Linked DNA regions of Sus scrofa. The protein of the gene in region 3 interacts with the protein of the main gene of each other region in a pairwise test. Links are inferred from orthologs where the notes say so. Each region holds a gene or a part of one and is shown on either strand. Other genes may lie near its edges.

Region 1 (3,512 bases), on a different chromosome or scaffold from region 3:
GAATGAATGAAAAGGCTGCTCCTTCCACCCTCCCCTGTTTCTACTTGCTTTCTTTCTTTTTCATTTTTTAAAGTTTTATTGAGGTAGGGAGTTCCCATTGTGGTGCAGCAAAAATGAATGCAACTAGTATCCATGAGGATGCAGTTTGATCCCTGGCCTCACTCAGGGGGTTAAGGATCTGGCATTGCCATGAGCTGTGGTGTAGGCTGCAGATGCAGCTCAGATCCCAAATTGCTGTGGCTGTGGTGTAGGCCGGCAGCTACAGCTTCAATTCTACTCCTAGGCTGGGAACTTCCATATGCGGTGGGTATAGCCCTCAAGAAAAGCAGTTTCTTTTGCAGCGAAAGAAAGAAAGAAAGAAAGAAAGAAAGAAAGAAAGAAAGAAAGAAAGAAAGAAAGAAAGAAAGAAAGAAAGAAGGAAGGAAGGAAGGAAGGAAGGAAGGAAGGAAGGAAGGAAGGAAGGAAGGAAGGAAAGGGAAAGGAAGGAAGGAAAGAAAAAAACAAAATAAATAAATAAAAACGTTTTATTGAAGTATAGTTGATCTGTAATGTTGTGATAATTTCTGCTGTACAATGAAGTGATTCAGTTATCCATGCACACAAATCCATTCTTTTTCAGATTCTTTCCCCACATAGATGATCACAGAATTTTGGGTAGAGTTCCCTGTGCTTTACAGCAGGTTCCCATTGGCCAGTGAGTCCATCTACCGCAGTGTACACAAGCCCAAACTCCCAGTCCATCCTTCCCCCCTCCACCTGTCCGCTCTGGTAACCATAAGTTTGTTTCAAACTGTCCTTCCCCACATGTCACAGAACCACTGCTGCGTTCAGACCCACCACACCCAGCACGTACCTGAAACGTCACCGTGCCTGCTTCCTTTATGGGCGAGGACACAGCCCAGGAGATGCAGAGCTGCCTGGTCGACATCCCACACTGATTTGCTACCTCGGCTTTTCACCAGTGAGCCCAATGGCCCGGATGCTGCGGGGGTTACATGGGAGAATGAGGCACAGGCCTGCCCTCAGGAAGCTTTTGCTCTACGTGTGTTCTACTAGAGGCCTGGAAAGCCTGAGGATGGCGAGGCACAGAGGAGGGAGGGTGTTCTGGAAGAGGGGATGATGGGCCTGGGAACTCCGGAGCCTGGCATGGGCAGTGGCCCGTGAGCTGGCGAGAGCAGGTGAGGGCTTGGAAGTGGGACTCAGTTGGAGGGAGGCTGGTGGGAAGCACTGAAAGCCAGCGCATCTCAAATGGGTGCCTCTTAGGAGCTGTGTGTGAGCTCCCTCAAGTCTCCTGGATCTGCAGAGTGTCTACAGCCAGGACTCCTGGCTGAGCCCTGCCTCGCAGCCCCACCCCTGGTGGAGCTGCCCCTCGCCCGCTTGCTGGAGCAGCACGTTCCACGGGGAGTAATGGCAAGCCTAGTTGCTGTAATAATGGCCCTCGTTTTCCCACAGGATGCTTTCGATTTGCTGCATGAGCTCCTCCAGCTGGGCTTCCTGCTCCGCCCCCTCCACCTTGTTGTTGAAGCCGCAGTGGCGCCGCTCACAGATCACGTCCAGCTGGGCCAGCTCCCGGTTGTCCGTCTCTCGCAGGTACTCTTCCAGGGAGCCGCCCCCCAGGTCTTCCTTCCGTGTGAACACCAGGATGGTGTGGGCCAGGACGCCCACCCCAAACACCTCCTGGAGGCGCCTGACCACCTCTTGATCCTCCTGCGTGAAGCGGCCCAGCTGTGTCACCAGGAGGACGGCGTGGGGCCCGGGGAAGGAGAAGGCAATGGCTCGGCTGAAGCCCTGGGCGGCCACGCCCGGCGCCGCCCGAGGGGACAGGATGTCGGGGGTGTCTATGACCTCGAGCTCCCTCCCAGCCCACACCCGACACCCCCGCTGGAAGTCCTGGGTCACCGGTCTGGAACTGAGCTTGCACTTGAACAGCTTCCGGCCGAGGATGCTGTTTCCTGTTGCGCTTTTCCCACTTCCGGGTTTTCCCACCAGCAGGAGCCTCAGCTTCCGCGGGGTCCGTTCATCCGCCCTCAGACCTGGAAGCATCAAGAGAAGCGGGGGGCGGAGTTAGAGCCCGTCCACCGGCTTCAGCCTCACCAGGAAGAGAGGGCCCTGGTGGGGCAAGAGAGACGAAGACCGCGTCTGCACCTGAGACCTGCCCTGGGTTCCCATTCTTTTTTCCTGCTGAATCGTTTTTCTCATCATGGCAGAACCTACTTAACATAACATGTACAATTTTAACCATGCAATCCACATGGTTGTGCCCTCACCACGATGCATCTCAAGAATTTTTCATCTTCCCAAGTTGAAACCCTGCCCCCGTGAAACACTAACTCCCCATTCCTCCCTCCCCCGAACAGCTCACAACCCCTCTTCTACTGTCTGTGTCTTTGGGTTTGACCATTCTTGGGACCTCATATAAGTGGCATCAGGTCATATTTCTCCCTTTGCGGCTGGCTTCCTTCACTTAGCATAATATTTTCAATATTTGCATGTTGGATCTTGAAGCAGGTCGGGTGTCAGAATTTCCTTTCTTTTTAAAGCTGAATGGTATTGCATTGTAGGTATGGACCACACTGTGCTGTTTCACACAGATCTGGACATTTGGGTTGCTGTTGTGAATAGCGCTCCTGTGACCCTTGGTGCCCATATGTTCAATGTCTGTCTCAATTCCCGGAAGTGAGATTGCTGGGTCGTGCAGTCGAACACACCAACTTAAGTTTCGGTTTTGAAACTTCGTCTCAGGATCACCTGTTCTTACCAGTATGGGAATCAGCCCATCATGAGATGAACCCTGAGCTTCCCTGGGGACCCCTTCCCAGGAAGAGTGGTGAGAGTGAAGGGACGCAGCCTCTCCCTAATGTGAACGACTGCATCACATGACCTTCAGTTTTCCCAACAGGGAGTGTCATGAGGGGAGAGCCTTTTCAGCCAGACACCCAGCTCCACAGCACAAAAGCACACTGGGGTCACATCTTTTTTTTTTTTATGGCCACACCCCATGACATATGGAAGTTCCTGGGCCAGGGATCAAATCTGAGTCCTAGTGGCGAATTCTGCCACAGCTGATGCAACACTGGATCCTTAACCCACAGCACTGGGCTGGGGATCGAACTCACACCTCCACCGCAACCCCAGCCGCTGCCATCAGACTCTTAATCCACTGCACCACAGTTGGAACTCCGCGGGGGGGGGTCACATTCTTAAGCTACACCCTTGAGGTTTGGGATGGACAGCCTCACCCAGCAAAAGATCAGAACCATCAGCTGAGAGAAGATCTGACCAAGCCGCTCGTCCTCAGCAACCCGAGATCCAGATTTTTAGCCAGGACCAGGGCTGGAGGGCAGGAAGGGAATTCCCTTCTCCTGGCTGCCTTGCAGGTCCCAGGACCCAGAGCGCCTAGAGATGTGTCAGATCCTGGCTGGTTTCTGAGTCTGTGGCACACTGAAGACTCTGATGTGCCCCAGTGACAGAGCCCTTGGCCTCCTGGAGGCAGGGCCAGCACAGACTCCTTC
Region 2 (3,030 bases), on a different chromosome or scaffold from region 3:
ACCTACACCACAGCTCACGGCAACGCCGGATCGTTAACCCACTGAGCAAGGGCAGGGACCGAACCCGCAACCTCATGGTTCCTAGTCGGATTCGTTAACCACTGCGCCACGACGGGAACTCCTGTACATTCTTTTTATCACATAAAAAGGCCAGGGTCCTTTTTCATATTCTATTTAATTTCTTTGGCGTATTCTCAAATTTATACTTTGACAGGGTATGTAAAACATCCAAATTCCAAGTTATTTAAATCTTTTTAATTGATTACAGTCGATTTGACTTTGAATTGCCAAATGTGTGGAATTCTTAAATATCTTTACTTAATTTCATTATGGCCGAGAACAGTCTTTCTGGCAATAAATCCTCTGAAATTAATTTATTACAAAGCATGTAGTCAGTTTGTGTAAACATTAGAGAGGAAATTACATGACTGACTTTCTGTTGTTAAGAAAACAGTTGTTCGGTTTCCCTGATGTTGTTTTGCTTCATTTATTGAGAAATAACTCAGCAGCTGTGAACCAGGTAAAATCATGGAGATTTTTATTTTTTAATTTTTTTTGGCTGCACCTGCAGCATGTGTAACTTCCCAGGCTAGGGATTGAACCCGCACCACAGCAGTGACCCGAGCTTCTGCAGTGACAACGCCACATCCTTAACCTGCTGTGCCACAGAAAACTCCATGGAGATTGTTATTTTAAGAACCATCCATAAAAACTAAAGAGAAAATAGATTAGTGGTTGCCGGGAGCTGGGGGAGGGTACACAGATTGGCAGCAAATGGGCAGGAGAGGTCTTTCTGGGGTATGGAAATATTCTAAAGTTGAACTGCGGTGATGGTTGCACAACTCTGTAGGTTTACTAAAAATCATTGAACTGTAACCTAAAACAAGCAAATTTTATGGTAATGCAATGTAAGTTTTGTCTCAATAAAGCTATCAAATTTAAAAAAAGCAAATAGCCACAGAGCTGTATCTTTCAGGAGAAATAAGAACAACCCTGTGTTGGGGGAAAATACTGGATACAGATGATCAGCTCCTGCTGCAAAGCTGGGGGCTCAGGTGGTGCCTGTGTCCCTGCAGTCTGCTTCCTGAACCCAAGGACCCGAGCACACACCTTTTTCGGGTGGACTCAGGCTGTTCACACCTGCAGAGCTCGGGGCCTCCTCTGCTGGCAGAGGTCTGTGCAGACTCTGCCCAGCCTGCATCAGCAGCTTCCACCTGCCCATCTTCCCTGGGGGTCTTAAACTCCCTGTGGGGACTAAGTGTCTGGAAACTCTGGAACATGGCCTGGACCCCATACCAGCCTGGGGAAAAGCCAGGAGGCAGTGGTCAAGGGCCACATTAATTCTCTCTACACGATGTGGTTTTTAGATCTTTCAGGGATTTATTAAGGCCTTAAGCACAGTGTGATTTTTAGTGACTCAAATGAATACAAGGAAATACATCAGGACCTGAGGGATATGCTTTTAAGGTTAACGGTGAGGATGATGAGCTGAAAGAGAATTTAGACTAACGCCTGCGCAGGAGGCACCCACCCTGGTGCAGCAGATGCTTTCTGCCTGTGTCCCCCAGCCAGGAGCTCCGGCTCAGGGGCTCCGGGAGGGCATCTCCAAGTGCCCACCACTTTGGTGCCCAATGGACATGTGTTCACCCACCTCCCCACCCACCTGGTGCCAAGTGGCAGGAGGGCCTCCAGAGCACACAGCTGCAGGAAAAGAGGTGGAGGACAGGGTGTGGCCTGGCCACAGCGCAGGGCAAGTGAGGGCAGATCAGACAGCCCCTGACACTACACAGGGTCCAGCAGGCCCAAGGCAGGACGAGGGGCTGGGGAGTCTCTGCCCGGGCCCCGAGTGCGGTTGTTCAGCCTTTTTTCCATTTACAACTCACGGCTTCTGGGGAGAGCTGGAGGGATGTGTCCTTAAGGAGCAAATGGAAAGGGAGGCGGAGAGGCCCGCCCCCAGGCCCTGGAGCCCTCAGCCCAAAGCTGCAGACTGCTCATGGTCACTGGAGGTGCTAAACTGTCTCTCCACTTTCTTTTGGTCCTTGATCTTGAGTCCAATGTCTACCTTCTTCTCAAGGAAGTTCACCAGCACAGACTCCGTCAGGATGGAGGCCAGGATCTGCTCGAAGGAGATGCTCCAGTCTGTGTCCACGGTGCCCCCACAGTGGGGGGTGGTCACGGGGCTGCGGGCCTCCCCGCCCACCAGCACTGTGTCGTCAGCCAGGTCCTCACACTGCAGGGAGCCCGTGCTGACCACCGAGTAGGAGGACATGGACAGGTCATCTTTGGTTTCATCGTCCGACAGAGGCTGGGAGGGGGAGCCCTGGCCCTCACCGCCGCCCCCTTCGCCCACCACCTGGCTCTCCTGCGGGGCTTTCCCAGGGTGGGTGTCTCCACCCGCTTTGGCCTGGGGGTCCCCTGCAGCAGGCGGCTGAAGCTCCCGGGCCGGGTTCTGAGGGAGGTCTGGGGCTGGCAGCTCGTCCTCCTCAGGGGCGATGTCCCTGGGCTTCCTGCCTGGCCGTGCGGAAAACCTCTTCCCCACCTCCCCGATGCGGAGCAGCAGGCTGGCCACCGTGGCGATGGCGTGGTACAAGTCCTGCTCCATGGGGTCTTCACTGAACATGTTGTAAAGTGTCTTGCACAGCTCAATGAACTGCTCCTTTTTTAGGGGAAAAACAGAAAAAGGGCAGGGAGGTAGTAAAAGATGGGGTCCGGCTGCCCCAAGACAGCCAGACTCACAACACTGGCCATTCTGGCTGGGGTGCGGGTGTCATCTCGCTAGCTGTCCCCACACACCTGTGTCTTCACAGGCCCATTTCACAGATCAGGACACTGCGGCGCAGAGAGGAAAAGGGCTTTCTTTTCCAGCTGCCTTTCAGTACAGAAAGATTTTGAGTCTCTCTGTGTCTAGGTCCATTCTGTTAGCAGAAAAAAGACCTACTTCTATCCTAACTTCCCAAGCCCAGTGACTACAAGGACGTCTTGACTGGGTTAGAATCACTGTGAGTTTTTTATATCTTCAACTCTGCCATT
Region 3 (4,026 bases):
ATTTTTCCTCTTGCCACAGTGGACTAAAGCTGGGCTGTCAACTACCTACAAGAAGGGAATTGTAAAGGCTCTGCCTAGATTCAGGCCCCAGGTTATCCCAAAGATTGCTTCCAGGCAGCACAACAGCAAGAGCAAAGGGGGGGTTCCTCTTACAGTCAGAGTAAGTGGTACCAAGGGAGGTGAAAGGCTGTAAAGAGACCTCAGAGCCCTGTGCTGGCCGGCAGCCATTCCCATGTACTTGAGGATCAGGCCGCTGCTCTCAGTGCACTCTCACCACGGCCAGAGCTGAGCCTGGAGAGCGAGCAAGCAGGCAGGGTGGTTGATTGAAACTGAGCCTCAGCAGGGCCCACAAGCTCCTGGGGAAGAACTTATTTCATGGATCATTTGGAGAAAACCTCATTTCAGGCTTCAGTTCTAAAAATGGCTAAAGCCAAAATAAGTCCTAACTGTTTTAAAGGATTCTTGGGCGCCTGAGGCTGAATCTCATCTTTTGTTTGTTTGTTTGTTTGTTTGAAGTCCAGGCCTTACTCTATTGTCTTAACCCAAAGTATACACCCATCTACTGCAACTCTTCCTTGAACTCCTGAGGTCAGGGAACACAAAATCCTTATTTCCAGTCAAGACCCCTAAGAGCTTTCAGTCCTCCAAAGTTTTGAGTTCTGCAAGCAACCAAGCAGATGGCCAACACAGTAAACACCTCTCACCTGGACTGTGGGACTGTCTTATCCACAAACAGGAAGATTGCCTTTTCAGAAGGAAGCTGGATCCTTTTCCTGATAATCCACATGAACTGAGCCACAGTGATGTCAGATGGAACCAGGTATTTCCGTTTGTCAATGTCAACAATCTGAGAGCCTGAGACTTTTTCCACGATCACCTGCAAAAGCAGAGAAAGGTCGGGACTGGATTTCTAGACTGAGGCTCTGGCCCAGCATTACTGGAGAGCTGATGAACAATGTGTGGTCAGGGAGGTGGGTGGGAAACTGTGAAACATGAGAAAATACGTTCGACTTAAAAAAACCACACACTTAAGAATTGATATATATGTGTTACGGGGAAAGGTAAGTGCTTTTCTGTGGTCAATTACTTTCTTTCTCATCCCTGATCTCAGCATGCATGAAATAAACACAGCCCTCACAAAAAAGCTTTGCAACATCTTGTCTGGGCAGACTGGAGACTATCTGGTGAGAGCTTCCTCTACAGCCTGTTACTTCAGGACCCCAAAGTGAACCCACACTACAGGGGAATAAGATCCCAAGGAACACTGGAAATGAGAATGGACGGACTAATGGGATGGACTGGCAATCCCAACCAGCCAAGAACCAAGCTCTTCATTTGGCCTGTTGCTTCTCTCTGAACTACGTTTCAAATTTACCCCTCTTGCTCTCTCCCCAGAGGAACTGTTTACAAGCCATGAGCTACAATAACAGACCCGGATGTCCTTTAAAAACCAATCAGGGAGTTTCCATCGTGGCACAGTGGAAACAACCCGACTAGGAACAACGAGGTTTCAGGTTCGATCCCTGGCCTTGCTCAGCAGGTCAAGGATCCAGCGTTGCCATGAGTTGTGGTGTAGGTCACAGTCACGGCTCAGATCTGGAGTTGCTGTGACTGTGGTGTAGGCCAGCAGCAACAGCTCTGATTGGACCCCTAGCCTGGGAACCTCCATATGCCATGGGCGCAGCACTAAAAAGACAAAAAACAAAAAGGACTAAAGAAACTATGTGCCCTAACACGGAAGAAATATAGGATACGTTTTATTGATTACAAGGAAGGCACTGGACGGGGCTCCTCAGATTTTTTTTGGTCAGGAAAGGATGACAGGGTCAGGGTGAGAAAAGGGAAGGAGAAGTCAGGTAAAGCCGGAGGCTCAAAGTTAAAGATGAATGTCCTAAGGCTAAAGTATCCCTTCCAAAACCAAAGTGAAAGACTCCCTCCACCACTATTCCCCAAAGTGGCTGTGACCTGTTGCCCTGTCCTAGAACATCGTTTCTTACATAATTGGCGAGGGAGCCCTGAGGCTGCAGACAGCTCGCTGGCCTAGTTCCGGAGATTCAGCACTGAGGCATCCTGAACAGCACCAACTCAAGCCCCTCAAGCCGCCGCCCGAGGGTCCCTAAGCCGTCAGGCCCCGTCAACTACTCTAACCGGACTGGAATCTAAACTTATCAACTGCTGAATGGCCAGGGACCCTATCATGGGTCCAAGACGGCAGGGGTGACAGCGAGGTGAGGGGGCGGGGAGTTCACTCACCGGAACCCGGTCGGGATATTTCGCTCGGATCTTCGCAGATTCCACGCATCTGTGTTCTATGAGAAAAACACACCCGGCTGACGGTCGCGCCGGCCCACCGGCCTCCGGGTCCCTCGCCCCTCCTCCACCCCACCCCACCCCCGTGACCTGTGCACGCCCCCGGCCCTCGTTCGGGTGTCCCAGCGACCTCGGTCCTCGTTCCCCTGGCTCTGGCGGGGCCCGCGGAGGGCGGCGAGGAATCCATAGTTAGCCGCCCGGGGTGCTGGGGCCTCGGCGACCAGAGCTCAGAGGGCGGCATCCGCCCCACCCGGCCCAGCCTAGGGCGGCCCGAGTGGGGGAGGGGGCCCACCCGCCGCCCCAGCCCCCACGGGCAGGCCAAACGCCGAGCGCTTACCCAGCGAGTGGTCCTCCTTGAACATCCACTTCATGGCGACAGCGGGGAAAGGACGCAGCCGGCTCTCGGAGCCGCGGAGCTCAGCGCACCAACCACAACAACAACGACGGCGGCGGCGGCGGCGGTGACTACACGGCAGGCGGGACTTCCGGCCGCTGGAGCCTAGCAACCGGCCGGGGGCGGGGCTTCCGGCGCCGCTTCTCAGGGCATCGGGCCAGGAGGCGTGGGGCAAGGAAGGAGTGGGTACCGCGAGAGGCCGCGGGAGGAGTTGCCGTGGTGACGTTGACGATTGGGGTGTCTGTAAGGGAAGTTGATGACTGGGAAGGGGATATTCAGGAATTGGTAACAAGAGCGGGGTTTCGGTGGACGTTGGTAACAGGAAGGGATGTGTGGAGGTCTGGCTGATACGACAGGGCTCTTGGGAGTGTTAGAGAAGTCCGACCGGGGCGTTGGTGACAAGAGGGGAATTTTAGAATATCAATGACTGAAGAGGGGTCTTTGGTGGCTGCTGATGGCAGGGGGTCTGTTTAGGGCATTGACAGTCTGAGGGGTATTGTGTAGAGTGGTAACGGGTTGGGCTAAATTGAGAGGTTTTTTGTTTATTTTTTTGGCCACGCCCACGGCATGCGGAAGTTCCCAGCCAAGGCCAGGGATCCCACCTGAGCCACCGCAGCGACAGCGCCGGATCCCTAACCCCTAGGCCACCAGGAAATTCCCAGGTTGGGGGCTCAATCTGGAGTGTATGACTAGTTTGAGGAAACTGTATGGGGAGGGATACTGATGACAACCCCGGGGGGTTCATTATTGGGGACAGCCATAACAGGTTGCATTGGACCTGGAAATGGAGTTTAAACAAATCCCATTTCCTTGCTTTATTCACGAATAGTGTCTGAATAAACATTTAAGAAAAGGTATCATAAATATGCATTTGAGGGGCATAACATCACGCTGATCACAAAGAAACCCCTTAATCTTAACTGGTGGAGTAGTCAGAGGTGACAGACTCAGAAAATTCCTCTGACAGCTAGGCATGAAGCGGGTTTCTTCAGCACTCAGCTTTGGGGTTCAACAGTTACAGCCTGGGTTGTGTGAGTGTCTCCTGCCTGAGCGTCCGCCTTCAGGTTCTCCAGGAACGTCATTCCTTTCTTCTTCCAAGAGTCATGGGACGGTCTGCCCTGGGTCATCATCTGTTTATGAGCTGGTGCATATCTGACAAGATATTCACTTAATTGGGCACATGATCCTCACCACATGCTTGTGAGTCTGATGCATCCAAAAGGCCTGCATGTGTGAACATCGTCATTCACAATTTCCTCAGTTGAAATTCCTTATGGATGTTGTGGAATCTAGCTTCATTCTAAAAGTATTTTTGTTATTTT

The links. The genes of interacting proteins can lie anywhere in the genome.
Region 1: the proteins of GABARAPL2 (region 3) and GIMAP6 interact in a two-hybrid assay, tested with the Homo sapiens proteins (2 studies listed by BioGRID). The two-hybrid records come from large-scale screens. The link is inferred for Sus scrofa from reciprocal best matches to the Homo sapiens genes GABARAPL2 and GIMAP6.
Region 2: the proteins of GABARAPL2 (region 3) and TBC1D9B interact in binary tests that used the Homo sapiens proteins (3 or more experiments, as listed by UniProt). The link is inferred for Sus scrofa from reciprocal best matches to the Homo sapiens genes GABARAPL2 and TBC1D9B.

What each region holds. Positions count from the first base shown.
Region 1 is NC_010460.4:6,417,764-6,421,275, reverse strand, and holds the end of GIMAP6 (GTPase IMAP family member 6), read right to left. Parts: intron 2,034-3,512; coding exon 1,417-2,033; 3' UTR 511-1,416; downstream 1-510.
Region 2 is NC_010444.4:78,723,872-78,726,901, reverse strand, and holds the end of TBC1D9B (TBC1 domain family member 9B), read right to left. Parts: intron 2,657-3,030; coding exon 1,970-2,656; 3' UTR 511-1,969; downstream 1-510. UniProt on the Homo sapiens protein: May act as a GTPase-activating protein for Rab family protein(s).
Region 3 is NC_010448.4:12,130,178-12,134,203, forward strand, and holds the start of GABARAPL2 (gamma-aminobutyric acid receptor-associated protein-like 2), read right to left. Parts: upstream 2,810-4,026; 5' UTR 2,682-2,809; coding exon 2,648-2,681; intron 2,310-2,647; coding exon 2,254-2,309; intron 878-2,253; coding exon 705-877; intron 1-704. UniProt on the Homo sapiens protein: Ubiquitin-like modifier involved in intra-Golgi traffic. Modulates intra-Golgi transport through coupling between NSF activity and SNAREs activation. It first stimulates the ATPase activity of NSF which in turn stimulates the association with GOSR1.